Schizosaccharomyces pombe: one gene and its partner. The protein of the gene in region 1 purifies or fractionates together with the protein of each later gene. This does not show direct contact. Each region holds a gene or a part of one and is shown on either strand. Other genes may lie near its edges. The genes, in order: mxr2 and trx1.

Region 1 (15,690 bases):
TGATTCTCGAGAGGTAGCATCTTCCACCGACATATAACGGTTCTCTTTCCTTGCAATGGCAGAACGTCTATCCCAATTCCTCTTCTTTCGCATGCGAAGCCATTTGTTAAGGTAATCCACAATCTTAAAAAATACATCTACAAATGAGGTGTATCTTTGTTGCCCCACGGAATTTAATCCATCAGGTCCCGGTTGATTAATAACAAGCTGGAATTCTTCAATGACTTTATTAACTTCCAGTTCTGACTCGGTTAAAATAACATTTAAAACAAGAAAGGGAAGAAGAAAACAGGGAATGTTAACCTCTTGGTCTTTCACTACTTTCGAACAAATACCAAATATTTTTTCAGCGTTTTGCGAATGGGCGTACTCCATCAATTTAAGAGAAAACAACTGCATCCAAGTATGAATAGTAACATTTTCTTTATAAATAGGGTACCGAATGTCAATTTTGGGGATTGGTGTTAAATGATACTTGGAAGTTAAAAATGGTATAAGCACACGTTTGGATAAATCAGGCAAAGACATCCAATGTTCTGTTACCACAGTTAGTCCCTTTTTTTTATTAATCACTGCGGACTTGAATCCACCAAGCTTTAGAAACTCTTGCAGAGCATAGGCAAGAAAACCTTGTGCTTTAGTATCAGTAGTAACAAGGAAAGCTGGAATTAACTGCGATTGCATAAAATCTAGAATAAACTTCAAACTTTCTTCTCCGTTTTCAAAGTTATCAAGAACAACTGTTTCTTTAATAATATGTTGAGCCTTGGCGCGGCTGGGATCTATCGCACCCAATTCACCAAGATTTTTTGCAGCAAGATATGATATTTGCATATTTGTTGAAGCATATTTTACACAACAATCTAAAAGGCATCTTAGTAATTGGTCCAGAACTTCGTTGGATATGTCCAAATTTAGTGTGTCATGTAACTCGTCCACCTTGGCTTGAAAAAAAAGTTCTAATTTTTGTAAACCTAAATAACAAACTGGCTCATTTTCGTTAGTTAAACACTTAATTATACTTTGAAGCTCAGAGTAAAAATCTTCATTTTGAAGCGAACAGAATATTTCTTTAGCCTTAAGGCTAAAGCACGCTGAATCCAGACTGGTGGGGATAGCCCACTTTAATCCTTGTAGGCACTTGTGTGTGTCAGAAGAAATAAAATCAAATATTTGAATTACTAGCTCTGCTTCTTGTGGTTCTAAATAAGGGAATAAAGGAGGTAAAATTACAAGACTTAAACCAGCAATTGAACTATACTCGGGCTCCTTGGTTGCTAATATCAAACTGAACCAAGCTTTGATTGCATAAAACCTTAAGTGCTCATTTTGAAAAGCACTTTGTAAATTAGAAAGTATCTGTGGTAATCCAAGTTTGACTGCACCTCCACATAAAGATAACATTTTTTCAATGCCGACAATTGTCTTAATCTTTTCATTAATTGAAGTCTTTCCTTTCAGGTCGTTAAGGATATTAGAAAATTCTGCTAAGATACCCAAAATGTGATTATTAAAAAAATCATAAAGTAATTCCTTATTGCTCAAGTCTTCGTCATTAACCACTTGAGAGACAATCATTGCTACCTTTCTTAAAGCATTTTCAATTTTTTCATGAGGAACATCATTCTGATAAAGCTGTAACAACTCCACAGTAATAGAAATAGGATCAGAGCGTAACAAAGACGTTAAATCAACTTTTTCAAAATCAGAAGTGGCCAGTGAAAGAAGAAGCATCACACTCTCTTCCAAATTAGGATGATCCGTAGTAAGTAGCGAAGCAAGGATTTTATGCATATTGGTAAGGCACAAAGTAGCAACATCACTTTGTGAAAGTTCAGCTATACGTACTATTAACGCTTTGTTTTTAGTAAGTACAAGGAATGGTAAAGTGTACGCCTGTGTTCGAATAAGAAAATCGCCCTCGGAAATATTCATAAGCTGAGCAAATAAACTGGCTATGTTCGGTTTTTTACCCATACCTTGGACAATCGCAACGGACACTGTTGGCCAATATGGAGAAAGTAATTGCCAAACGGATATATGACGCGTCGAGGCAATTTGTTGCAGAGCGCTGAGACCAATGCCTTGATAAAATATTCCGCTGTTTATCACAGAAGATATAACTTCCAATAGTACAAAATGTAATTCTTCTTCTTCTACCACTCTAGATAAGGAGATCCAGGAAAGAATGACCGTTTCTAAAATAGCTGTATTTTCCACCGCCAATATTTTCAACGTATTAAAAATCAAGGCTTTACTTTCCTTGTGAAATTCAACTATATCAAGATTATTAGGTCCCTTAATGAAAATGGGCAAAACTTTTGCAGCAACAACACGTAAACATCTTGAAGTACTGGCTAATGCTTTCATAATAAATTCTCTTAAACTTAACATTGATTCTTTATTAAAGTTTGAGCAATGCTGGCTCCACCGAAAAAAGCCATCAAGCAACAATGATTGTTTAACAGAAGAGGAAATTATGTCGGGATTTTTTAGCAATGCACAAAACAATTCGTGATAAGGAATTTTAAAGAGCGACCGCTCATCAAATAGTAAACAAAATGAGTTACAAACTTCACAACCATGTACTTCATATGTGCGGAAAATACTATTTGTTTTCTCATTCACCTTTGCAACATGAGTACACAAAACTAAAGAGAAGTTCTTCAGGTCGTCCTCACTTATTGTAACATTATGAGAGCTATAATAATCTAACATTTCACGAAAGTGCTTTAAATTAGACGGTTCATCTAAGTTGTTGTTTATACACCATTTTGCAAATGTACATATGTTATGACCATTCTGGAAATCCACTTTAAGAATATTTGACAAGTCATTGTCCAAGGAAAGATAATGTAAAAGAAAAAGGTTTAATTCAGAGTTAGAAAACAACGTGTTTTCAAGTTTACCAGTACAAATTTCGCCAAAAGCACGGAGAGTTGTTTGATCTATTTCTGAACTTTGGTATCTGCACTTAAATAATATTATTGCCTTTTTGAGATCAGAATCTGGTTCAAGTTGCTCTAATACCTTGAAGTCAGAAAGTAAGGAAACCCCAAAAGGATAGAATAGACCAGCTACAGTTTTGGGTAAAACAAATAAAGAGAGAAAAAAAAGAGATATAGCAGTATTAGCAACTGTATAAGTTTTCTTCAATGATCCCAATGTTAAGTTGATGGAGGACATTAAAATATGTTTAGATTTTTCACAAATGGGAAGGCCATGATATATAAAATTCAAGGAAAAACAGCATAAAGTTTGGACTATACGTGAATGCAAATGTAGAAAGAGCTGTGAGTCTCCGATGCTGATTCGTTTTAATAAAATAACAAAATTAAAAAAACATGGCTTGATCCAAGTCCACGCTGTAAAGAGAGGTGGACTAGGAAAATTGGATTTCTTTAAATATGAGCATTGTGCAAAAAAATGGGCACTTTCAAAGAAAAATGTACAAGCCTCCTCTATATTAATGATAAGTAAATCAAATTTGTCCTCTCGATGGGTTGGATAATTTGGGGTGATACTCTGCAATGGTTGAGAATTGGGTGAGGGCATCTTGTAAGGGAATGTAGCATTAGTGATTTGGAGAACTATAGAAGAAACGTTTGTAATATAATATTTCCAATAACGCATAAACGAAGCATATAAGTCCCATAGGAATGACTTTTCACTGATTAGCTGATAAATTAGCTTATGAAACTCTTTTAATGAGTCAAATAACTTAATAAAACGAATATCAGCAAACAATGATATAGTCCTGGGTAAAATCCAATCCAAAAGAGTAACAGATGATTTAATCTCCCGCAAAACTGTCGGAGACCTTTTTAAGATTAGCATTAACGCTTGTAGAGAGAGATGGGCTTCTTTTAGCATCTTAGGAGAGATAAATTCAGATTTTGAATCATCATGTTTAAAAGCTAGAAGACCAACTTCAATTAAAACTTCAACAAGCTCGGAGGTCATAGATGGTAAAGAATTACTTCTACCTAACTCATGTTCTTTGTCTAATGCTAATACTTCTTTCAAAAGCTGTCCGAAAGCCTGTCTGTCATCTAAGCCTCTGGGTGAAAGATCGAGTGACCCAGCTTTCCTTTTTGCGTGTTGGCTCATACTATATCAAACCATTGATTCAATTCAAAAAAAGGCCTTTTTAAAACGCAACACGCGCGTTCAAAGTCTTGAGCATTTATAAAAGACGATTGTAAGTAATAAAATATCTCAATAGAATTATGCGAAAAGTGGCAATCGATTATCAAATCGATTTCCACTCACGAGGTAAAGGAAGATGCATGGTGCACTAAGTATCGAGCGATGCTAATTAACGAGCTTTTGTGATACTGAATTTTCAGAGGAAACTAACTTTTAAGTAATATTAGGCTGGATGTTTCTGATAATGATTGAATTTTTTGACTTTTGATGTGATTATAATGGTCAATAAACAAAAAAAAAAGTTATTGTTGAAAGGTAGTAGGAGAGAAAATAAGCTATTTTACGGCTAATAAAAGAAGAAATGAGTTTTAATTCAATTATTTCTTAAATAAATAATAAGAAAATATTGAAAAGATAAGTTATAATCGCACATCCTAGTTCTCATTGACTATAGCGTCAGTGGAGCGTCATACGCAGGGCATTGGTTCACTAGATCGCGGATTCTTCTGTGTTTTATACTTACTAAGCAGTTTTTACTTGGTACCTACCTATTCACATAAATAGTGGTCAAAAAGTCGTTTACTTACTTGAAAATTTTTGTAGTGCCAGTTGTGGTACATATCGTCTTGTGTTTTCATGAAAAAAGTGATTACTACACACTTTTCAATCTGTGGAAATACGAAGTTTACGAATCTTTTGAAACGTGCATATAACGTCTCCTACCCTGTCCAAAACGTCAAAAATAATACAAAGATGGGATTTCCATTGGAAAAAAGCGAAGATGAATGGAAAAAGGAGCTAGGTCCTGAGAAGTATCGAATTATGAGACAAAAGGGTACTGAGCACCCAGGTGCAGGACGATTCACTCATCAGTTCCCTAAACAGGGCGTTTTTGTTTGCGCTGCATGTAAAGAGCTTCTTTATAAAGCTAGCACAAAGTTTGAAAGCCATTGTGGATGGCCTGCGTTTTTCGATAATTTACCTGGAAAGGTGAAACGCATTGAAGACAACTCTTATGGAATGCATCGTGTAGAAGCAGTTTGTGCCAACTGTGGTGGTCATTTAGGCCATATTTTTAAAGGAGAAGGTTATTCTAATCCTACTGACGAACGCCATTGTATAAATTCGGCGAGTTTGGAATTCCATAATGAGGCAACAAATGACAATTGAACTAGATTATGCTTAATATTTCTGTATTTTCTTTATTAGATGTTAGCACCAGTTCGAATTGTTTGTGCTTGATGTACGGCTATTATTTTATTTAAAGTTGCTTGTTCACGTTTTGGTTAACTTCAATAAAATGCATTTACTTTTAACATTTTAAACTAATATATTTTGTTTTCAAAGAGTGTAGTAATCTCTAGGTCAGAAATTAGATTTACTAGCCGTATGTTATAACTAAGCTGCTTATGCCAAAGTTAATAAACGATAACACAATGTTTACACTACCTGATATGATCTTCCATTTATTTCAACTATAAAGGGTATAACTAAAGTATCCCTCACTTAAATATTTATTAATTTGCGTACGCTTCATAGGTCATTGAAAAATTTTCGTTCTTTTTTCAGAAGATTTTAAGAAAGGAGTAAAAGATGCGTGGACTACAATAATACGCGAAGGATCCGAAAATGTCATTACATTATACTGAATAAGTATAGGATGATTCTCCTTTTACGACGAATCCAGCAATGGCTTTATATATTGGCACATTTCCATCCGTCATGTCAACCACCAAATGGATGGACTGATTATCAAGAGCGAACAGTAGTACAGTACGCGCGACGTTTTCACGAGACATCATACAATTTATGGATATCTTACCCAATGCAACTTTTCCAGAACCCTTCTCGTCTGTCATACCAGAAGGACGTAAAATCGTCCAATCAATATCACTAGAGCGTCGCACTAATTCCTGATCCGCTAGGTACTTGTAATGGTAATAAGTTCCAATTGACTGATGTATTTTCTCACTTAGCTCTATATCAGCAGCCGTATAGTAAGGAGGAGGAGGTTGGCTCATATCACGATTATCTATCGCAGATATCATAATTAAGCGTCGAATACCAGCTATCCTCATAGCATCATAAACTTTTATAGCACCTTCATAATCGACGGCTCTTGTTCGTTCAGGGCCGCCTTTACCTCCTGCACCGGCTGCAAATATAACAACATCAGGGTGTATTTCAGCTAAAAACTGAGCAATATCATTAGGCGTCGCCTTCTCAAGTGAACAGACAGAAGTTCTGCCATGCACTTTTTCAATGTCTTCATTCTGAACATAATCACGTACAACATTGTAAACTATATGGCCAGCTTCTGTAGCAATTTTAGTAAAAAGCAAGGCCACCTTTCCATGCCCTCCAAAAACAACAAAAACAGTCATTTCTTACAAAATAAAAATGCTGACGATGATTTCTTTAACCGTTGGGAATCAAGAATCCAATATATCCTTCTCCCTTATTGAAAAAGGAACTTAATTAGCTGATCCTTTGAATAAAAGCAATGGCAATTGTTAAAATGAGTAATTTTTAGAATTGGAAATGCTGTGTATCTGTCAAACCCCTCTTAAAAAAAGAAAGGAATAAGGAAAATGAAAACAATCTACAAAATTGAATCGAAGAGACACACCACAGGGAATGAGCAAAAGCACGGTTTACCTAATTAGTAGTACCGAGTTAATTATGTGACGTTTTCAGTTTTTGTATGGTAAGCTCTAATAGTTTTAACATGATGTAACGATGCAGTAAAATAACTAGCCAGATATATTGTGCTCTTTTTAACTTTCGCTAAAAGTTCTTGGGGTAATACACGGAAAGTGCATCTGGGCACTAAAATCATTTAACAGGTTGCTTATTATTCATTCAGTAATTGAAAGTCGCCCAGATTTGTTATGTTTACCAGTAATAGCAATGTTTAATTCTTTGCACATAAAACTCCGTCAAGGTTAAGTCTGAATCTTCTTTTGCTTATACGGGATAATTTGTTTTGATAAAACTAACATTATCGATGTTACCTTTAAACGTTAGTCGTCTTTTGTTTGCTATTTAAATGTCTCGTATGATAAATTGATTGATTAAAAATGAATTGTATAGAAAGAGCAATTTTTTCGACAAAATAGGAAAGTATATCATCCTCATTAGTGCATGTCGAATTGCAATAAAGCTTGATCGTATAAACCTCATTTACAAAACTGATTAAGACATTTGATTCTTAGTTGTTTACAGTGGTTTAATATCTTTCTATTTGATGCCGCTTAATAAAAACAATTGGTATAACTTTAAAAGTTGTTAGGGAATATTGAAACAGTTTACTTTAAAACTTATAAGCAATGACTGAAACATGCTTAAATGCCGGGCTTAGTATCAAAGATAGCCTTATGATTTATTTGTTTGATAGCTTGAACCCAGATATTGTGAATTTTCTTGCTTTTCGCTTTTAAGACGATGGGCTTATCAGTTGTCTGCATCACAATAACTTCATTATGTAAATTGGCGTTCTTTAAGGCATCTGGGGCTTTTATAATAGTCATTCCCTTAATTTTCACAGACTTGACTTGATTTTTCCTTCCTTTTTCAATAAATGGATTTGTTTTAGACCAGCACAGCATTTCACAATGCGGGTTAATCCAAAAATAGCGCCAATGACTCTTTTTAAACATTTTGAAACTCTCACTTCTCGGGTACTTCATCATTTCGTTTCCCATCATGACATGTTTCATCAATTTGTTCACAGAATTTGCATTACAAGTTGAAGAAGATAAACCTGATAGATTCAAATTATCTCTGCATTTTTTCGTATTTGTTTTGCTTTTGAGATTATTGCGAGGTAAGGTGAATACGTCTGACACCGTCGACAAGGAAATAGAAATCGTCGTAGCCGTACTTCTTGCTTTCAATTGACGTGCTGATTGCGAGGAATCATGCCGAGTTTTTTCAACTTCAGCTGTTGGATAAGTACGAGTATTCTTAGGTGCAGACGGATAAGTTGACGCCTCCCAATTATTATGTTTTGTAAAGTCTTTGAAAAGCATTGAGGAAGTTCCGTTTGAATGTCTTGAAGACATATTAATGTCCAAAGTAACATCAGAAGTTTCCAATGATTGACGTGAAGCAATTGAACGATTCTTAAACATCGAGGATTGAGCAATTTTTTCCCATTGTTCCCAGTCATGCTCTTGATATGGGATCTTTCGAGGAAAAACTGCCTTGCCTTGCCTCATACAATTCATAGATCCATTGGAACATAGCTTTTTCGAATTCCTAACATTACTGTGGGAAATATCCGTAGATAATCTAAAATTCTTAAATTCAGCTATTTCTGGATTACTATAGTGGCGCAACCTCCGACGAGGAATCGAGCAGTCAATAATAGCGCTAGTTAATTTTCTTTTCAACCTCGTGGTAGCAACATTTGAAAGCGCATCGGTCCTTAGAATGACACTATTAGCTGATGTGTCATTTACTTCATTTTTTATTAAGGAAAAAACAGAGCTGATAAATTCCATATTCTTTTGCAGATTCCACTGCATGGAGATTGTATTTGCACCACATACAAAGTCTTTGACATTTTTTAGACAACAGAAGTGATTCTCCAGAATATCATGTTGTATACGGTTTAATACATGATTTCCATAGGAATTTAAAATAGGTTTAACAAGCCTATAAGAGGAGACGCGATTGTTTAAATAATTTTCACGTCCACCTTTGTTTAATGCAGGCAGGTAAGAAACATCACGTTCGTAAATAGAAGAATGATTTAAAATGTTTTCTTTTAGTTTGAAATTAGCAAATTTTTCAGTATCTTTCAAATGCATCTCAGTACTTGCAGACATGTCGCATTTTGAAGAATTCGTATCTATAGGAAATTTTTGGCGAGGTTCAAATTGAGCCAATTCAAAAATTTCCTGGCGATCTGAGCTTTTAGTCGGTTTGAAAAGTTTAATGACTTGTTTATTTTTTGAGTCAATATCTTTTATTGAAATTTGAGAGGTGAGAGATTGAAAGAATGACTGAATAAGATGATTCAGAGAAAGTGGGTACAAGCAAGAAAGCTGAAAAAGGCCCAAGTTACTTTTCAGCGCCTTTTGTAGTTGCTGATAAGACAAAAGGAAGCAAATAAACTCATCATCTCTGTCGGTTTCATCTTCGATGTCTATAGAGTTTTCTGGTGATACTGCCTTGTTCAGAGACCTGATTGATTTCTTTATGTCAGCTTTTGTGTTTTCAATTATTTCCGATGATAAATTTGGAGACGGTGTTTTAGTATCGTCAGCTACCAAATGATTTACACTCACTAACTCCTGTTTTGCTAAATTGATGGATTTGAGAACGGCCGATGATTGAGATACCGAAGTTTGTACATTGGATTCCAACGACAAAAAAGGATCTATTGGAAAATCGTGTTTCTCTTCTTGCTCCGCATCAAAAGATGAACTATCAAAATACTTATCCGAGGAAGACTCCAAAAATACAGAATCGTCGTTTTCATCCTCAGTTACCAAAGTATTTTTAGAATCTTCACTTTCATCTATAGTTTCGCCTTTTTCGGCATTCAGTTGAAGCTCGTGAAGGCAAATTCTTAAATTTGTTAATTCCAATGTCAGTTTGTTCTTCTCATCGTTAAGTGAAACGGTCAAAGACTCTACTTCTGTCAATTTTTTCATTAATCCTTGTAGTCTTTGTTCAAGCAAATCCCTTTGTCCTTGCACCTTAGTCTTCTCTTTCATAAGTGTTTTCATGTTTGAAGAAAGTAGATCAAGTTGCTTGATTAAATGGGCATTATCCACTGACAACTTTTTATGCAAATCTTCTTTCTCTGACAGTTGCAGCCTTAAATACCGCAACTGTTGCAGAAGGTTTAAGCCAATGTTAGTAGCATATTGTAGATTGGTTTCAGTAACTGAATATTGATCTACTTGAGAAGACTCACTGAAGCAATTTGTGTTCTTCCTTCTTTCAATTGCAATGTCTTGACGTTGAATAGTAAGCATCTCCGTAATTCTCACCTCCTCCTCCGCTAAATTTTTTTCCAAGTCGCGTAATTTATATCGATTATCAAATTTGTTATTAAAATATGTTTTATTTTCCTTTTGAACCACTTGGTCTTTAATTTCTTGTTCGATTTTTCGTGTTTCACAAAGAATGCTTTCCTCTAACGCTTTCGCATAAGCAAGCTTTATTTTTGCACTTTCATTTCTATTTTTTAAATCAATTGAATATAATTCCACCTCGTTATCTTGTTTTTTCTCCATGAAGGATCAGTATATGTTTTGGTAAGCTCAACTCTCTTTGTCTTTTATATATCGATAAACTCGTAAGCATGCATATCGCAACAGTCATCGTCTTGAATACATAATTTTTATTTCTGGAATTATATCAATTCAATTCGTGTTCTCATTTGGCAAATTTCTCGTATTACGCTTTAACAATAAAACTTAGTAAAAGCAAAAAAACTGTATTTATATTGATGCATTTGCTAGAGTACTTGAATATCTAGCGAAGCTTTAGCAGCTTTCAATATATATATCGGTATAAATACCATTAGTTTGTACTTAAAAATTAACTATTACTTTACAAATGTACCCTGAGCCTCATGATTGACTTGCAAAAAATTGATTTGACGAGGCTACACATGTGTTTAGACAATAATTAACTTTATTTATATTCATATTTAGTTTATTTACTATTTCGAAAAGATTTAAATGCTAATTGTAGACAGTATAAAACGTTTAAAACACAACTCGATATAAGGATTGATTACAGCATATACACCGAGCGGTGAAGTACTCATCGTTAAAATGCATAACGTCCGTTAATGATATTGTTGTAAACAGATACCGAATTACAATGAAAAATAGTGACTGAAAGCACCACGATCACGTATATAATAGTTATTTGACTCTATAAAGAACATAATTCTGCCATAACACTTCAAAATTATGCACGTGAAATATACATAGTACACTGCTTAACAAATCTATTTGTTATATTTTAGGCAAACCAAATAATTAAGTAAAGCGGCATTGCCATTTAATGAGAAATACATTTATTAATAATTACAATCTTGGTGCAATCTACGGTATTGCATTCATTCACCACCACGTTTGAATTTCGTCTTCACTTTTGAAAATTTGGTGACGAACGCCAACGTCGTAAATTCGAAGCTGACGTCTACCCTTAATCCGCCGTAGAAATGGATTCTACGAAGGAAGAGGAAGATTTAAATAATAATATTGATGAAATTTCAGATGGAGAAAATGAAGAAGAGGAATTAGACGAAGCAATTGCAGCTGCATTGCAGAAGATCGAAGTGCCATCGATTCCCAGACGTGTAAAAGTGTACGAAATGGAAGATGAAAACTGGGTAGACTGTGGCACCGGTTATTGCGATGGAAAAATAGAGGGACCGTTGGCTTATTTCATTGTGCGTTCAGAAGCTGATAATGAAACCATCCTTTTGAAAACACAATTGATTGCGGAAGATATATACAGCCGTCAAGAAGAAACTCTCATAGTCTGGCAAGAATTGAATGGTACTGATCTTGCTTTAAGCTTTCAAGAATCTAGCGGTTGTATAGACATGTGGATGTTTTTAGCAAATGTTCAAAAGGCAATATCATCGGTAACTAGAAGTTACTCCAACGATGATATATTGACGGATGAGGGGGCGCTTAATGAAAACTACCTAAACACGGTCGATCTTCCAGCCCCAGAGCTTGCTAATTTAAAAGAAATTGAAGAAGCAGTATATGGATATATGCAGTCTATTCAATCAAGAGATAGTTTGGTTCGTTATGTTTCAAATGAAAATTATATTGATAGACTTATTGAACTTTTTCCTCTGTGTGAGGATCTAGAGAATACAGATGACCTTCATCGATTGTGTTCCATAATAAAAAGCTTTGGTATGTTAATCTACTTTATACTTTTTAGATTCGTTAAATCCTTGCTAATCGCTGTCAGTGCAATTGAACGACGCCCCTTTACTCGAATCGTTGTTCTCTAATGATGAAAAGCTAATGTGTGTAGCTGGTATTCTCGAATACGATCCGGAATTCCCCAATATCAAAGCGAACCATCGGGAATATTTAATGGATTCCAAAAAGTTTAAGCAGGTGGTTCCCATTCAGGATCCACGGATTCTTGCAAAAATTCACCAGACATTTAAGCTTCAGTATCTAAGGGATGTTGTCGTTTCAAGGATTGTTGACGAACCCTCCTTTTCGGTGCTAAATTCATTTATCTTCTTTAACCAGGCTGATATTATTCAATACCTTCAAACAAATGAAAAATTTTTACATGAACTGTTTAGCATTTATGTGAATGAAGGCGAGGATGATCAACGCAAGCAAGACGGTATATTCTTTATTCAGCAGGTTTGCAACATCGCTAAAGGGCTACAATTCCAGTCCTGCTCTGCATTATTTGCTACTTTCGTTAAATTTAATCTTCTGAAAGCTTTGGATTATGCAATGTCACATGAGAACAATTCCGTTCGAAATGCTGGTTCCGATATTTTGGTGTCTATTATTGATCATGAACCTGCCATCGTTTGGCAAAAGTTTGATCAAGATCGCAAGGACGCTTCTTCTTCATTGAGCAATGCTCACGTTTCCCAACATTCGTTGCTTTCCAATTTAATTAACATTTTGCATAAAGAATCAAATCCTGGAGTACTTGCTCAAATTTCTGAAGCTTTTAAAATGCTACTAAGTTTACCTGGTAGCTATGCATACAATAATCCTTACAGAAATGCTGATGGAAATGTTCGAAATAAAACCGATAACATTATTGGAATTAATTTTATTGAAAATTTTTATGATAACTCTTTTAATATGCTTGCTGCTCCTTTATTGGAGCTGGAAAATGTATCGAGTTTAGATGTTAAAAAGCTTGATATGTATATGCATTTGTGTGAGCTTTTTTGTTATTTTTTTCGTATACACGATTATTGGTCTCGTCGTTTTGATACATATAAAACCCTTACATCAAAAGTGGCTCTATTACTATACAGCGATAGAAAATATGTTGTTTTGAGCGCCCTTAGATTTATTCGCTCTTGTTTGGCCGCTCGTCAGTCAGAAATGTCCTTGATCATGTTAGAAACTGACACATACGGAAAAGTTCTGGACTTGATGTTAAAGGTCAAAGACCAAACTAATTTAGTCAACTCAGCTGCTTTAGAGTTTTTTGAATTTTTAAGATCCGAGGGATCTGAAGATACACTGGATTATCTCAATAAAAACTATCGACCACAGCTGGAATCTTTAAATAATCTCAGTACTTTTTCTGAGCTTTTAAATATAATAGATGGCTTAAGCTCTGACTCAAGAAGCCCTAAAACTGTTGGGACTCATGAATCAAATAGTTATGAATTTGACGGTGCCTCCAATAATAACCAACGTGTTGGAGACGACGTATCCAAAGATTGGGAAATACAGCAAGATTTTTCTATTGAAAACGATACTGAATTATCAGAAAAAGTTGGACAACGTACTGTTCTTGATTCTATAGCCCCTGCTGAGCTAAATATTGAAGACAGTTGCGAGCAGCCAAAGCAACCTATATTAGAGGATCGTTATTTCCTTGAGTCTGCAGTTTATGATACCTCTGCAGAATCTTCAGGTATTAATGTTTCAAACACCCGTTATTCTAAAAGGAAATCGGATTTCCAAGTTGATGATCAGCAAGCTGATGATGAATCACCAAAAAAGAGACTCTCTATCGATTCAAGTTCTGCCCAGAATGGCTACGCTTCCTAGAAGATGAACATAAAAAGGGAAGCTCCAAAAACTCTAGAAGATTGTAATGCAAGTGAATCATCATATGGACATCGTATTTTTGTTCCCGGGTTTATCATTGTTTTGAAAACTCATCTGTATAATATAAACGATTTGGGTTGTTCATTAAGGGACTTTTAAAATAATAAATACCAATTTTCATGTTACTATCGTGGTCTTGTAGTCTCGGGATAATTGTTTACTTAACGCTGACGAATAATTGTACTTAGTAGGCTTAAAAATTAAAAAAAAGTATTTTATATTAAAACGGCAATTTATAACTCTTGAAAAACAGAGGGATTTATATAATAAACAAAAAGAGTGTGAAGTCATTACAAACTTGAACCCAACTCTATCTAAAACTATTTCTTTAAAAACAACGACGTACCAAACAAGGCAAAAACCAAATAGCTATCAGTGATTGCCAAGACAATCATAATCAACCAATTCATAAATCAAAAATAATTTAATTTTAATGAACTGATTCTGCAAACTTAGGATGACATTTCGCTAAGGATATAAGGGATAATTACTAGCGAAGCTTGTAAGAAAATCAATAAGGATTCGATGATACGGACGGGCATAAGCAAAGCAGGACCAGACAAGACATATTGGTAAATACCATAGAGACAGACGGCATAGAAGTGGCCGATAAGATGAGAAGGGCTATGGTCTAAACCGCCTAATAAACGAATGGGACCTTCAACACAATTACCTCCACGCTTGAAGTAATCGATACAGCCCGATTCAAGAGCCTTCATATAGCGATTTTTAGGGGTAAACAATTTGTACAAAGCAATGGAAAGAACGTTGATTACAAAACTGTAACCCTTACGCTTCCAATGGAATTTGTTCATTTGGTTTAAAATGCGCTCGTAGTCTAGAAGATCGGGAACAGCGGAAGGGGAAATGAATCGGGAAAGAAGATAGGCATCGTGAAAGCAAACAGTCATACCACCGCCGGTAAGGGGATGGCGCATATTGTTTGAATCGCCAACGAGGATCATACCTTTGGTACGGTTGACAGTGGGGGGTAAAAATTGGTTAGGCATGGACCTAAGACGATCGTTATAAACAGCGGCCTTGAGGGAAGGGCGAAGCTTTTCGGGCATGTTTGGGACGCATGATTCTAAAACGTATTTTTTAAGAGTCTCCATGGGGGGTAAATTCTTACCAGGGTAGTTGATTAAGATACGAGCTTCAGTAGAGGAAATTGGGTAAAGGACCATAGGAGCAACCTTGCTTAAAATTACATGACCACGACCAGGAGCGATGTAATCGGGATTGGTCAAAATCAAGCCCAAGAAGTGATCGGTGACTTGGATAGGGTGATCGATGAAAGCCTTTCTAAATTTGGAAAAGCAACCATCACAAACAATGGTCAAGGGAGCCTTGTACTCGACAGGGGACTCGGACTTTTTAGAACTGGTAACAACACCGGTAATCACCTCACCAGTTTCATCGCGTAAAAGTTCATTGACGGTGGCCTCGGTTACAGTGACGTTGGGGGTGCTTGTAAGTGCTTTACGAAGGTTCATGACAAAGCGACCATAATGGAAACCAATTCCTTGGTATGCACCGCCATTGGGCTTGCTGGGGTAAGGAACGGAAACGTTTGAATCGCCATAAAAGATTTGATAGCCAGAAGTCCATTGACCGTCAATGCCTTCGACAGCATCGGCGATGCCGATCTTCTCTAAGGCTTCAATACCACCTGGTTGAAGCAATTCACCAACAATTCTATCGGGTTCAGACATATCAC
Region 2 (15,611 bases), on another chromosome or scaffold:
CACACGCTGCGTAGATTATATGAGAATCTACGTTTTCGCAAAAGCGGTTCGAAAATGCTTGCTGGTCATTATTTATTGGGATACCTGTTTTACACACATACATTCCTTGCATTGCTTTTGTGCGGTAGAAGAAGTTATGAAAATACAATGTCAAGCATGCAATTTGTTGGTTTGGGGATTTACGCAATAGGCAGCATTTGGCAGAATGCAAGTCATGAACATTTGATTGCTCAAAAAAATCATTCGCAATATCTAGTCCTAAAAAAAGGATGTTTTAAATGGATAACTGGCCCCCATTACCTTGGAGAAATCATTGTTTATACTGGAATAGCACTGATTGCCCAACACTGGTTAATATGGCTAGTCTTGGGATGGGTACTTTGCAATATGGTAGCAATCTCTTCTTCTTATGCTTGTACGGTCAAGAACAAAGAACAAAGTTTGGACTTTCGGTGGACTCTTATACCTTTTCTATACTAAGAAAAGCGTGCCGTCAGGATACCGCGATTCTTATTGATTGTGTAAAATAACATTTATTAAAAAAAAAGATAATTTGTATTAATATTTAGTCGGGGTTTGAGAAGAGACGAACTTTAAAGATGTATTATTATTTTATGTTGCACTTTAGTACAAGCAACAGTAGATGATAAAAGTTATTTGGCCAGCATGTAGAAAATAGGGAAGGAAGGAAAAAGAGATAGGAAAATAAGAAAAAAGTAATACAAGTGTATCCAATATTTAACGGAACAAATAATAAGACATATTTTGTTTCGTAATATAATCATTTTGATATGCAGGTACAAATTCCATTTCACAACAATACCAAAGGTAACTTCCCTTAATTGAAAGAGTGACTAATTTAAAAAACGTAGACGAAGAGTGCAGCTATAAAGGTAAGTTAGACAAACAGACATGAATCTCTCTTTCTTTTATGCTTGAGGACGTGAAAGGTAATGGTAAAGGATGATTAAGAGCATCATGGAGATACCAAAGGTGGTAACGATATTTTGAAGTTGAACGTCTGTCATTTTTAAGATGATCCTTTGTAGGAAATGAGTTCTGATGCTTGTGCTCGGTACAAGTTGGGAATACAAGTATTTAGGTCCAAGCCTGAATTGCCGTGCATTCTCATAAAGTAACGAAGCACGGTTGCTACTTGAAATGTGAATATCAGTACTGCAGTGATGAAAAAGACTGCCGGTATATAAGGTAAAAGAAAGAAGAAAGAAAATTCATTTTACGGTACTTTCGAATTCTTTAATACATATTGCTGCTCAATAGCTTCTGGATGTCTAAAATGTGAATGCTTCGAAAGAGCGTAAAAAAATTTCAAAAAAAAAAATTTCTTCACCATCCCTATAATTGCCGTTGATTAAAAAAAAAAAAATGTAACTTTCTACTTTGTTAAAGCCAAAGTAGCTGTAGAAAAAGTGACTGTGGATGCGTATGTAAAAGGTTACCCTCTCAAGCTGAAAACTGCATTGTACTATTTCGCCATAACGTGAATTTGATATAAAGCGATGGTTCAATACACCGTTTCTAGAGGAAGTAGCATGGAAAAAACATAAATTAAAATATCGTTCATCGTTCTAACGAAAGTTCAGCTACCGCAAAGAATTATTTGACTGGCGATTAACTTTTTTTTGATTTCAGAATTTCAAGTATATGTGACACTGTTATAAACTGCATATTTATACTCCTTTTCCAATTTCTACCGCCATTTATATGTAAAATGGATTTTGTTAACAGTAGGAATATCGCCTCACTATTTTACATTTTTGTATGTCTTTTAATTTGTAATTTCATATCAGTACCTCAGTTGTTATAACAAAATTTTCTTAACATTACTTCGACTCCACTAACTAGATCGTGTACAGCAAAGAAAAGAGCACGCATAATCTTTCAGCTTACCAAAAAAAAAGAAAATCTTTACATTTACATACTTATTATTTTGATGCTTTAATTGCTTATAATCTCATGTTTGTCGAGAATCCACGATTAACAAGCTGACATAACAACAAGATGGCTTCTTTAGCTTTGTTTACTAATTGTCAGGTTTCCGATTTGTGATTCGTTGTAATTCCATGAAGTATTACTCCGAAATGCGTTATAGAAAATTAGGAAACGAATTGGTAGGTTGATGGCAGAGAATGGCACCATATCCTCGTTATTGTAGCTCATTACCTCATCGTCGGTGATTGCACAATGTACGCTCTCGATCTTTCTACTAGAATAAGCGAACTTATAAATTACACATTTTCTCAATAATATATAAACGGGCACGTCGCACCATCGTATAAGTATACTAGAGACAAAGTTCATTTGCACTCCTGAAGTCAACGTCTTTTGAATTTTTCAGGTTTACTTCTGTTTACTCGTTAAATCGATTTTTTCTTTATTTGAGTATATATTTTTAACTTAATTTCCCATTTCATTTATATACAACATGGTGAAACAAGTCTCCGACTCTTCTGAATTTAAATCTATTGTTTGCCAAGACAAGCTTGTCGTTGTCGACTTCTTTGCTACTTGGTGTGGACCTTGCAAGGCCATTGCTCCTAAGTTTGAGCAATTTTCCAACACTTACTCTGATGCCACTTTCATCAAGGTTGATGTCGATCAATTAAGTGAAATTGCAGCTGAAGCTGGCGTTCACGCTATGCCCTCTTTCTTCCTTTACAAGAATGGTGAGAAGATTGAAGAAATCGTAGGTGCTAATCCTGCTAAATTAGAGGCTTCTATTAAGGCGAACCTCTAATTTACGCAATCTGATAGTTAGTTGTTATGAACTTGTAATACAAAATATTTTTATTTAACAAAAATAAATGTTTTGCTTTTCTTTGTGTATGCACCGTTGTAATTTATTGGGAAAAGTATTTTTGTCCTAGCATCTTTTCTACTGAAGTTGCAGAACGGCGATTTGCGTACAATTATCGCAATAATAGTAATGTGCCATCGACCAGGCGTAGTAATCTAGTCATGGGCATTTTTCAGACAAGCTAGCTAATTTGCGACCGCCTTGAGCATTTGTAATATTTAATACGACTTTTTGGTTAGGCGTTCGTGACTCTGTTCTACATTATTCTCCTATCCTTCTAAGATAGACATTGGAGAGTGTATACCAATTTGGAATGATACCATTTGGATGAATAAATATCCTTTTTGATTACATGCTCAAATACATGCTACTCTTTATTTATAACATTATACAATTAACCCAACGAATATTTATGTTGATCTGAGTAGCAAACATATTTTTGTATTCTATTAGAATAAAATCTTTAATATTCTCGTTAAGTATTGTTTTATAACAATCAAATTTCACATTTATGGAGTAAAATCACAGTAATGATTACGCTCCGTCGACATGTTCTTAACACTTACATCCTAACATACATTGTTCGTCTAACGAGTTTCATTAAAAACACAATTTTTCTTAAACAAAAAGGAGTTCCTTTCTATGTGAAAGAACTCTACCAATTTTCCATTGTCTATAATAAGCGTTACTCTTAAAAACCTGGGATCTGTCTACATTATTTGCTAAAGTCTCGTATTTTATCAAAAGTTAACCAATGTCTTCAGTTGAGACAAGAAATTCTTTTAATCCTTTTCGGGTATTATTTGATCTTGGTTCCTATGGCTGGTTACATCCTTCAAGGCTCCTTCTGTTGGAAATTCCTTTTGTCTTTGCTATTATTTCCAAAGTTCCCTACACGGAGATAGACTGGATTGCTTACATGGAGCAGGTGAATTCATTTCTATTAGGAGAAAGAGATTATAAATCTCTTGTCGGATGTACAGGCCCTCTGGTCTACCCTGGAGGGCACGTATTTTTGTACACCCTTTTGTACTACCTTACTGATGGAGGGACCAACATTGTAAGGGCGCAATACATTTTTGCCTTTGTATACTGGATTACAACGGCTATTGTAGGGTATTTGTTTAAAATTGTCCGCGCTCCTTTTTATATATATGTTTTGCTTATACTTTCAAAACGTCTACACAGTATATTTATCTTACGTTTATTTAACGATGGATTCAACAGTTTATTCTCTTCCCTTTTTATTTTGTCTTCATGCAAAAAAAAGTGGGTTAGAGCTTCAATTCTACTAAGTGTCGCTTGTTCTGTCAAGATGTCCTCCTTGCTTTATGTCCCAGCTTATTTAGTTCTTTTGCTCCAAATCTTGGGGCCCAAAAAGACCTGGATGCATATTTTTGTTATTATAATTGTACAAATTTTATTTTCTATTCCCTTCCTTGCCTATTTTTGGTCGTATTGGACTCAAGCCTTTGATTTTGGCAGAGCATTCGATTATAAGTGGACAGTAAACTGGAGATTCATTCCACGCAGCATTTTTGAGTCTACATCATTTTCCACATCAATACTTTTTCTTCATGTTGCTTTGCTAGTTGCATTTACCTGCAAACACTGGAATAAACTGAGCAGAGCAACACCATTTGCAATGGTAAACTCCATGCTGACCTTGAAGCCTTTACCAAAACTCCAACTCGCAACTCCTAATTTTATCTTTACTGCATTAGCAACATCCAATTTGATTGGTATATTATGTGCAAGATCCCTGCATTATCAATTTTATGCATGGTTTGCTTGGTATTCACCATATCTATGCTATCAAGCTAGTTTTCCTGCTCCGATAGTAATTGGCTTATGGATGTTACAAGAATACGCATGGAATGTTTTTCCTAGTACTAAACTATCTTCATTAATCGCTGTATGCGTGCCGCTTATTACTATTTTGAAGCTATACACATCCGACTACAGAAAACCCTGATCCCTCTTTACTAATACGCAAAATAAACTTTATAAAAAGCTTAAACACTTCACTTTTAATTACTCATGGTTTTTAAAAAACAAAATTTTTAGTTTTTTCATTTGTGTACCGACTATAAATTTTTGAAAATTAACATCTTATAAAAACGAACATTAGTCTAATCTTTTAATTCGTATCTTTATGCCGTCATAATTCGATGAATATTCTCTTCAATGAAAATCTCAGGGGATTGACAGATTGATAAAAATTCATACATTTAATCATTCGACACTGAAATGAATTAGCACCAGTGTTTTTATCAAATGCTCATTATTACTTTTAAAAAAGCGTTTCTAAAATATAAAACAAACAGTTGCTAAGAACACAAGTGCTTTCCGCACAACTATTGCAAATATTAGAATAAACAAGTTGCTGATTTTATAGCTTGCACCATTGACAGTCACATTTTACTAAGGTTTCATTATATATTTCAGTTCCCTCGTTAAAGTAATTTTGTGATTTGCTGTTTATTTGCATAATGTGAACTTCTTAAGGATACATTCGACCGCTGTAAGCGCCTCTTGTCTGATGTAGCGTAGTATGGATTATGAAAAAAACATATTTAGCGTAACTTGTAATAGTTCTAATAAGCTAATAAGTAAAATCAACTTCTACCAGCTTCAACTGCACTTCAAAATATATTTTTCATAAAAGGTTTAGAATAATTGCTTTTTAAGGGAATGACTATAAACGCAGGCATACATGTGAGAAAGCAACTTTTATCTTACTATAGCTAGTGCAGCGTAATAAATATTTCTTTATATCAGCATATTGGCATTTCGAGGGAATAATGGTGAATATGTAAATGTCTTAAAAATATTAAATATAGAGCCAGTACTAATTGTTAAATAAAATTTAGATAATTTAAAAGCATAAATCCCTTTAGCTAAATAAATGCTTTATCGAATTTGCTCGGTTTGCGTCAGTTCTTCGAATTTCAATATTTATGAATAGAGTATACACTCCATTAAAGAAAAGAATTTTGTGAGCTACTCTGTATAGATTTTGAACCCGTAAAAACAGCAAATGCATAACTGAGCCCTAGATTGTTGGTCTAACGATTATTCTCGTAGCATGGATGCTAGACTTGGAATAACGCGACTAGAATGGTCATTCAAATTAGAAAATAAAAAGGATTGCTATTGCGTTTATCGGCATATTCTTCATTTTTTAAATTTTCGTTAGCATGCATATGCATTAGCCATTTCATGTTCATGTCTTTTCGGAATATTCATTGTTTACTTATTTGCGCCCTTGTATAATGAAAACAACAATAGATCAATCTCTAAAAAATTAAAAGGATCACATAAATATAATTTTTCTTCAATGTCAAAAGCTAGTACACAAAGGAACAACAGAGCTTTGTTGAAAATATAATCAATTTATACATTTATTAGAATTCTGACGAAATATTCATTTATAAGAAAAAATTATCATTTCAAATGTGAAACCTTTATTGTCACATTAGGTCCTTGAAGAAGGGGTCCAGATATGAATGTTGGATACGCGGTAAACCTGACTGCGTTTATTTTACTTCTGTTCAAAATATTTCAGGAAATTGGTTTTTATGTCACAGTATTCAGCATTCCATTGGATGTTTCTTGCTGCTGAAACATCTTTTATTAAATCATCCCCTAGGTGCATACATTCTTCTGGTTGAATCTCCTGTCCAAGAAGTTTAACAGCCTTTTCCATAGCATAATCAAATATTTCCCTGCTTGGTTTTTCAAATCCAACGTCGTACGAAAACGCATATATATCTATTAGATGATCTATGCCGTAATCTTCAAGCACTGTACGAATTCTTTCGTCTGTGTTTGAAATAATACCAATAATGTATTTCCTCTCTTCTTTATTTCTCTTAAGGAAATCAATCAGAAGAGGATGAATCGTGTAACCCGTCTTTTTGGAAAAGTAACTCCATAGCTCTTCAGCCATTTCTGCAGGAACAGGAGTTGGAAAAGAATGTTCGATAACCTAAAATTGTTAGCATGTAAAGGTTTTTTAGAAATCAAGAGATTCAATTCTTTACAAAACACAAATCTCAATGAAATTCAGACACATACTTTGATCCACCAGTCATGAGGATTTAATCCTGACTTTTTTCCATGATTCTTATGCTTTTCACTGAAATCCTTGAATGCTAAATTATTAGATAAATAGAAACCAAAAGCTAACCTTTATTACTATTGTGTTCAATTTCATCAATAGTTGCATGAACTCCATACTTCTGAGCGACTTCGCTGTACACAATTGGAACAGGTTTACTTAAATGAAGGATTGTTCCAAAAGCATCGAACGTAACCAACTTGATCTTTTGGATATTTTTTGAGGGAATCATAATTCCAGGTTGTACTTTGATGGGACACACTACACAAAGCAATTTACATAAGGTACTCCTTACCACCAGTGCGTTGTTCGGTGTGATAAATAATATTTGCAAATCACTTTTATTGCGAGCGATTGCGTTCTACATATTAAATAATATACGAATAGATTAAAAGTTCATTAAAAATTTATCATGTTACAAGACGAGAGACACGCTACAGCAATAGTAGTCGTTAATTTACGTCGGATACCTTACTAGGCGAGACCAAAAAACAAATTTCAGTAAATAATGCCATAACAGATCAAAACCTGAAAAAATAGAAGTATGATAATACCAAATGTCTGTCATATAGAATCAGTCCCACAAATACAAGCAAAGAAAAAGCAAGTGAAGGTATAAGCTAGGTCACATAATGATTTAAAATCTTTCATCGATAGCTTCCACTAAATGCCATATTGTACCTGAAGGCAGGCGAAGCCATTTATCCGTCGAATCATCAGCAGTACGATCTTCAATGGAAGTTACCCTTCCTAACATCCAGTCGCGGCTTTCAAGTTTCAAATGCGGTTGAGTGTTCAAATAATAATGAGGAGCGTTAACATTAAAAGCCGCCCACACCTTTTTGTTACCGGCGGTACGTCGAGTAGGCAAAAACAAGACCAAGGATCCTTGTTTGAAATTCCTTAATGAGACTTTACTTTGAGAGTCCAAAATAGCTTTCAGCGCCTTGTCCCTGTTAGATTGAAATTCACGTTTCCAACGAAGTTCATGATTATGTGCTTGAGTCAAAACACTGACAACAAAGTTATGGAAAGAGTCAAAATCTAAAGAACTCATTCTGTTCAAAAATTCCTGGAAATTCCTATCAGCATCCTCCCCATCCATCCAATAAAGATACTGTAAATCTTTGGAATTAAATTCAATTTGGCGATCTGGAATCGATGCATGGCCATCTCTTTCGTTATCTGAATCAAATCCAGGCTGAGTAACGCATTCCCGAAGAACAGACTGTAACTCATTACACCGGAATACAATGGTATAAAGTTTCTGAGTTAATATCTTACATTGTTCTTTTCGATTCTCGGAAAGTTTGAGTAAATCAGCTTTCTCTGCAAGAGCATAATCTCTCTCTTCAATAATATGTTGTACTGCTTCGGCATCTTTTGCAAGAGTAGCGTATTCGCCCTTTTGCTTCAAACTCGTGAGTTGAAGCTTGAAAGCATTATAAAGTTCTTGCAAGCTATCAACTTTGCCCTCAAATACGGAGTAAAGGTTTAATATGTTCGGTTCATTAGAATGCATCTCCTCGTTTGATTGCTGTTCTGCAACTGCCGCTTCATTTTTCGTAAGCAGTTTCCGTGTTGATGAAAGTTCCTCCTGTAAATTTTCGTATTTTTGTAGCACTTCCTCATTTTCAGTTTCGAGGTATTGGATCTTTTCTTCCTTCCCTTGAAGCTCAATTAATAAGTCCTCATTTCTTTTATTTACCAAATCTAATTCGTTGCGTAATTGATTAACCTCATCTTGAAGTCGTAATATGTGGCTGTCGGTAAAAGAAGTTTTGCGATTAGTTAATTTACGAATTACGTTTAGAGGCACAATACTAGGGGAAACACGGTAAAATGGCTGAGAAGAATTAGACTGCTCATTGATGGGTGGATGTGGAGCATTTGGAGATAAACCATCATTGTTAATGTTATAATTAAAGCCGTTTTGATGGCTTAACATTGCCTCTAAATTATTGCAACGATTTTGATACATTGCCAATTTTTCATGTAATGAATTGTTCGCTTGAACCGTATTGGAAACGGCTTCTCGAGGACTTCCAGGAAAGCCCAAATATTCTGAGAGCCGATTGCTTAGCATTTGATGAAAAGTTTGGTAATTCGGATGTGCTTGAATATTGAGTAAATAATTAGAAATTTCGTCACGAGTTAAAACTGGTAAGTACTTTAGCTGGCCATGATTAAAAAGCAAATTAGAGAAATGACTGAGCCAAGACTTCCTAAGAGAAAGCTCCTTCTCCTGGTCTAAAGGAAGAGAACTATCATGGCTTACATTGTATGATTCCTGCCATTCAGTCCTCCTCAGTGCCTCCATTAAAATGTCGATATATAGCGAAAAAATGTTTCGAGACTGAGAAAGAACGAATTTGCTTCTGTCAAGCTCTTCTGCTATTTGTCGAAGATATTCGTACAATGCATCATATCTAAGAGAAACCTTATAAAAGGAAAGCCAAAAAGATTTCAAAGATATTAGTGATGACTTTCTAGAACTTTTTAATTCCGACAGATTACTTTGAAGTTTTTCCATGCAATCAGTAATTTCGGTTTCGTAATTACATTTTGGTTTGATTTGAGAAGTAGTTGAAGTTGACTCTATTTTAAGGATCTCTTGCAATATATTGGCTGCATCCTGAGCGACGGAACGTAGATGATAATAAGCATCATCTCCTTCCTTGATTGAAGGAACTTCCTTGAATGGGGAAACGATAATACTATTTGCGGCGCCAATGCACTGTTGGACTCGTTTTTGAGCTTCAGCATAACGAGCTGAAATGGAGTTTAACCAGGAGTCCAATTTAGTCCAATTTGTTGAAAGTATTTTAAGAGGAGTAATGGGTAAAGAACCAGTTGGTAGAGCGAGGAAATCATGAAGTAAATCAGACACAGATACTCGATCTAGTCTTTCGTAGAAAACGAAAAGTAAATCTTTCATACCAGATTGTCTTCTTTGTAAATAATTCATTGCAACTTCTGGAGAAACAATACTAGTAGAATACTCATCATGGCATACGCTTAATTGATTATGAATCTTTGAAGAAGACTCTAAAATATCAGATAATAATGAAAGACACTTGCTGATTTTATCTTTCCATTGATCTGAAGAAGAATCAGCTATAATCCCAGTAAGTACATTAGATATTGGTTGTCCTTTCAGAGAAGGAATAGAAGGAATTTTATCACCATCGTAGGTGAAAGTCAACAAGTTTTGATCTAGTACGTAAATAACCACATCACTTTCACTATTTAGTACGGTTTCATTCAAAGACATTCCGTTCGGCAATAATAGTTTTGCTTCATCACTAAGTCCAATATTGAGCTCCATAATCCAAGCTACAAGATTTTGGGGAGTCCATTGTACATTATCTATGGTCCAACTCTTTCCGGAGAATGAATCATTCAATCGAAAACGCATACTGACCTATTGTATTGCTTAACTTTATCATTCGCGATTCCCCAACATTAAACTTGAAATATTTGATCTAAAAGAAAACTCAATATCAGTTATTTATAATCCGTTGCATATAGTTATTCTCTGTCCTTATATTCCGTTTTGTTTGGTAAGTTGGCGGGTTCTATTTGGTTTAGGCGATTGTTGGGTACTAACTACCAAAAGGAGATTGGCATTGTATGAACACTGAGTTGAAGCTGTAAGACAATACAGCTTAAAATTTCAAATGTCTTTTCATTTAGCTTAAAAAAACAATTTTAATTATTGGTTTTATTATGTTTGTCTACTGAAATATATGTCATATGTAGCCGTATACCCTCAAGCTGGTGGGTTCGGAAACTCAGCCTTAACCAAGCATCTACACTGGGTGTGAACGAAAGTGTTGGGGATGCTAATTTACATTGCGGATTTCATATATTTAATTTAAAGATATCTTCTACTTGTTTACTTTTCATTCTTTTAGAATACAAGTATTCTAAACTCGGAAGTATTTTTCTTGTTTTTTTAACCGCGAATCTTTTGGTTACCGATTTCTCTGTCTTTTATCGATAAAGTTTTTAAAAAATTAAAAAAGTCAAAATTTCTCTACTGTAGGAAAAACTTTTGAGCATCTTTTAGCATATTTGGTACATTTTTTTCTGGCATTTGCATAGCTTGTCCTTTAAATCTTCATTTCTTTATTAGTGGTGATTGCACGGCTCATGTTAATTAATTTGGTTTTAATCTAGGGATTAATTATATTCTTTTTATTTGCATTTCACACTTATTCTTTTCTTTACATTTAGCTTCATTTCTGAAATTCTGAATGGGTGACTTTCAATCACGATATGAGATCCTTGCCGCTATTATGGGTCCTCCCAATACAGCCTCCTTTAAAGAGGAAGAGCATTCGGGTTCCCAAACAAAAAACTATCCTGTTGTGGTAAAATGTATTCAGGAACATGATCCCGTCGATACAACCAATGTGCTTGTAGCTGACGACCTTGATTCGAACTTTGAACCATTTTCGATTACAGATGATTATGGTAAATATGAAAACACTTTAGTAAGCCATTCCTCAACAATCTTAAATGAGCCTTACAACGAATCACCCTCATCATCATCTTCTGATTCCTCTTCTCGTTCTACCTCTCCTTTTTCTCAGTTGTCTTCTCAAAGCCTACGCCTTAATGCGGAGGAGATAGCGCCTTCTAGCTTAATAAATAAGGCCGTCCAATCTACCTTACGTCTTTCGGAGCCACTGGTTTCTCCAATAAAGTGTCCTTTATCCGAGCAATTCATCAATTTTATTAATCAGCAGGATTCTGATAAGGTAGTTCTTATAAGAGGGTTTTTATTACCACATTTGGCTTCTTTAACCACTAAAAACGTTTCCGAACCGGAATTGGATAAACTTAGGCATTCTTTGTATAACTGGTGGGTATCCATTCTTCGACGTTTACAATCTAATATTTCTACTTCAGAACGTATCACATATACAAAGGCCATACTTGCTATCGCCAAGCATCATTGTTGGAACAAAGTGGAACACTCTGCTTTATTGTACTTGGAACACCAATTAATACTTTACGATACATTGACATTTGTAGTTCATCTGCTTTCTCAAAAGTCCTTGCCGTATTCATTAACGACATTTTGTGCGAGTATCTTGGTTCTCTCCTTTTTTCAACTTCCACTTTTTGCCGACCATTTCTTGAGCGCATTAGATGTAAAGAAAAAGTACATTGATGCTTTGGGCTCATCCTTCGACGAAAAAATAATGATTATTTCACATAAGTATCTTGCGCCATTTTTTACTGACCAATTTTCCTCGACTATGCATCCGTATTACCCAAAACGAACTTCAACGCCTTTTACTATAGGTTACAATAGGCAGCCTATTGAATTCACACGAGCATGGATGCGTCGCTTTAAGTCTTCTACAGGTGGATTCTTTTTCGAGTTTTTATCATGCTATCATTCTTTTTTAGCTTTGCAATTCTCTTTCGAATTACCTGATAATGTCATATATTTCGCTCCAGGTTACATATGCTTACATGCTTATCTTCTTGAATTAACCATTTCGGTTATACATATTAGCGACAAAAAGCCATTAATGTTACCTACAGGACATGAGCAGTTTCCATGTAAGACTTTACCAGAAGTAAATCCATCAATGGAAGAATACAATCCTAAGATGCCTGTAACTGCCACGACTTTATCGACTCTTCAACAGTTTGTCGGACATATTAAAGATGCTTTTAAAAAGATTGGGGATTGCAGACAAGAGCAGATGCGTTTATTAGCCGTTTTAGAGCAAGTTTTAATTAATGTTGCCAAAAACACCCCTGCTTTTAATCTTCAATCTTGTTTCTTGCTGTGTTCTCTTGTTGAACAGTGTTTCGGGGTATTTAACGATTTCTCACACCGTTTTGATTTTTCTTTTTGGATTTCAGTTGCCAAAAGATTAATATCAACTTCCCACAATATGTCCATTGTTCGTAGTATAACTTTCATTTATGCTGTCTGGCCATATTTAGATATAAAATCTAAAGAATTGGTAACGTTGCAATGGTTACTAGAAGAAAATACTTTCCAGGAATTGTTTCTTCATTGGTCGCCTCTTGTGAGAGCTTATTTTCAGCGCCTTGTATGTTGGAGATTCTTAAAGCTTGATGATATGGAAGAATTCCAATTTAAAGGTACAGTTACTTTACGTGTAAAAAACCTTTTAAAGCATTATTTCACAGCCCAAGCTCTTTACCACGAAGAATGTCTCGTAAACGGTAGGGCATCTCCTATCACAAAACCCAGTGAACCTGTTCCAATGAGGCGGTTAACCATTGTTTGTAATCATTATCAAAATTATGGTAATTCGGAGAGTACCGAATTTGAGCTTTCCAATTATAAACAAGATGATGGCACAATTCAAGCATTAGTCACTGATGTCGTCTCAATTTCAAATAGCTTTTCGAGTGGTTTGAAAAAAGCTTTTGGGTCGCTTTTTAAAAATGTATCTGGTCTCCCTGCTGAAACTGAAATTGCTTATCATCATACTCTTTCTGCTTCGAATTCATATGTGTTTACTGATTTGGTAGATAATCCTGATTCAATGTTAAAATCTACATTGAAATACCGGTTTGTTTTCAAGTTCTCTCCATCCCAACCTCTTTCTTCCCTCGGGAAAAACAAGGAAAAATATGACGCTCTCTTAGAGCGCTCATCACATGGAGTTCTTCCTGTCCAGTCGAAGATGTTGCTGTACAACAGCAATCATATAAGCTGCCCCTTGTCAAGCATCAAAGGTGTTTCAGTAAACGGCAAAAGGTTAGTCTATACCAGCCGTGCATTAGTTGAATGGGCCCTTGTTGTTAATGAATTTGATCATGCGCTTTCTTTACGCAAAGGAAACGAGACGGAGGACATGGAGGCACCCACGTTAACTGTCCGTATTCCAAAATCGTATGCTTCTAACATCTACAATTAAAGAATGGATCTTGTTTGATTAACTTATTTATTTTCCTTGCGCATTTTGAGAATTTGCTTGATATCTATGTTACTGTCCTTCTTTTTTAAATCTGTATGCGATATCCGCTCTTTTTAGTTTTATCAGTTGCTTCTGATAAGTATATTGGAAGCTCAAATTTTTTAATCATTTGTTTCATTTTAGTTAGCTAATATATTGTTTGAAAAATCTTTTAAGTATGCTTACGTTTTATAAAACGGAACAGGTTTGAAGCATTTCTTTAATGTGGGCAATTTGCTTGAGTATATTTTGTCTGCTAGCTGCAAAAAACTGAAAATACTACTTGAATTGTTTGAAACTAGATATGTCAAATGTATATCTAATGTATGTAAGAAAAGGTATATCAAAGAAAATTTAAAGGTCATTTATCAATACTAATTGAATCAACTAGAGAATAGATATACATCCCCCCGGCAAAAGCTGAATGTTTATTTTTTTTACAATAGATTTCTATAAAAGAACAGGCATTCAATTTACGTGTTATCTACTAATTTATCTAGCAGATTTCAAAGTAGGAAAGCCGTAGTTGTTTTTCAGATCAACAATAATCTAGCATTATTTCCTATATCAAAATAAATTCAAATAAAATAAATAAATAAATAAATAAATAGATATAAAAAATTCATTAATTAGAGCTTCTGCATATTCTTTACACTGCCCTCGGCATAGTATAACAGCATTAACCTCTGTTACTTCAAATTTAATGCGCGTTGGAAACTTGACAGTGTCGCATGCTTTACCAACTCAAAAAAAAACAATGAATGTCTCATTAAGCTGAATTATACGAATTAACTTAAGAAAGAGATACCCCCATAATGAATTCGTTTTCTTCAAACGAGTACAGTACAGAAATCAGCACTGAGGCGCTTAACAATTGGCAGCAGCTTGTTGAACAAAGGTAAGTTGAAGCTTAAATTAATTTCGAAGAGAAGCATCTTATTCCATTTGATACTCTCGAATCATTAATTTTTAAGTATTTTTTTAATGATGGGTTATCCTTATTATATTTCGAACTGACACAAATGTGTAATAATTCATTTCAAACTTTGACTAATCTACTTTATAAAGAATTTCATTGGAATTGGAATATGCTGCAAAATTAGCAAAATTGACGAAATCAATTAAAGCGATTAAGCAATGTGCACCCTTAAATGATTTGACCAAACAGGTGTGCGTAGAACTTATGCAATGTAACAAGAAGCATTTGGAAGCGTCCCGTTACTTTCAGACCCATGTTAAAGAGTTTATGAAAGAATATGTTGACAGAGAAAATAAATTCTCCAATGAAACTATTTCTAAGGTATAGCAACAAATATGCAATTATTATTCTGATTCCAATAACACTTTATGTTATGCCTTCCTTCTCTAGCTAGTTAATCTAACGGTGTTATAGAGTTCGGCTGCTGCTTTAATGACAAGCATGGAGAATTTTATTCTTTTTACAAATCCAGTGTACCATAACAAATTGCAAGTTCCTTCTAAAAGTGATATGGAAATTGCGAACTCTTTAAAGATTACTCAACCTGCTGAAAAAAATAGTGGTACGGCAAATCCCATATCTGCTTACTCTTTAGAACATGCGGAACTTGATGAGCGCAATAATCAGCTGAGCGAAGCTTTGTCAATGCTTAGATTAAGTCCTTTTGTGAACAACTATTATCCTTCTTACCAAAATCGTAAGGATGGGAAAAGTTTGATGGAAAATAGGGGG

Evidence for each region.
Region 2: the proteins of mxr2 (region 1) and trx1 purify together in Schizosaccharomyces pombe (affinity purification with western blotting, with the first as the bait; one study listed by BioGRID). This does not show direct contact.

Annotation. Positions count from the first base shown.
Region 1 is NC_003423.3:892,785-908,474, reverse strand, and holds mxr2 (peptide-methionine (R)-S-oxide reductase Mxr2), read left to right. Parts: upstream 1-4,691; 5' UTR 4,692-4,902; coding exon 4,903-5,319; 3' UTR 5,320-5,558; downstream 5,559-15,690. Other genes in the region: ATR checkpoint kinase Rad3, read right to left, coding at 1-4,110; SPOM_SPBC216.03 (uncharacterized protein), read right to left, coding at 5,790-6,533; dynein-anchoring factor Num1, read right to left, coding at 7,494-10,400; serine/threonine protein phosphatase PP4 regulatory subunit 3 Psy2, read left to right, coding at 11,342-12,053, 12,112-13,910; squalene monooxygenase Erg1, read right to left, coding at 14,423-15,690.
Region 2 is NC_003424.3:2,623,011-2,638,621, forward strand, and holds trx1 (cytosolic thioredoxin Trx1), read left to right. Parts: upstream 1-2,322; 5' UTR 2,323-2,446; coding exon 2,447-2,758; 3' UTR 2,759-2,845; downstream 2,846-15,611. Other genes in the region: dfg10 (steroid dehydrogenase), read left to right, coding at 1-480; oligosaccharyltransferase subunit Ost4, read right to left, coding at 930-1,028; SPOM_SPAC7D4.08 (uncharacterized protein), read right to left, coding at 2,032-2,322; dolichol-P-Man-dependent alpha(1-3) mannosyltransferase Alg3, read left to right, coding at 3,573-4,793; SPOM_SPAC7D4.05 (hydrolase), read right to left, coding at 6,363-6,809, 6,899-6,975, 7,011-7,173; autophagy associated protein kinase regulator Atg11, read right to left, coding at 7,579-10,359; protein ahk1, read left to right, coding at 11,201-13,861; sfp47 (SH3 domain-containing protein), read left to right, coding at 14,716-14,798, 14,969-15,200, 15,294-15,611. UniProt on the Schizosaccharomyces pombe protein: Participates in various redox reactions through the reversible oxidation of its active center dithiol to a disulfide and catalyzes dithiol-disulfide exchange reactions.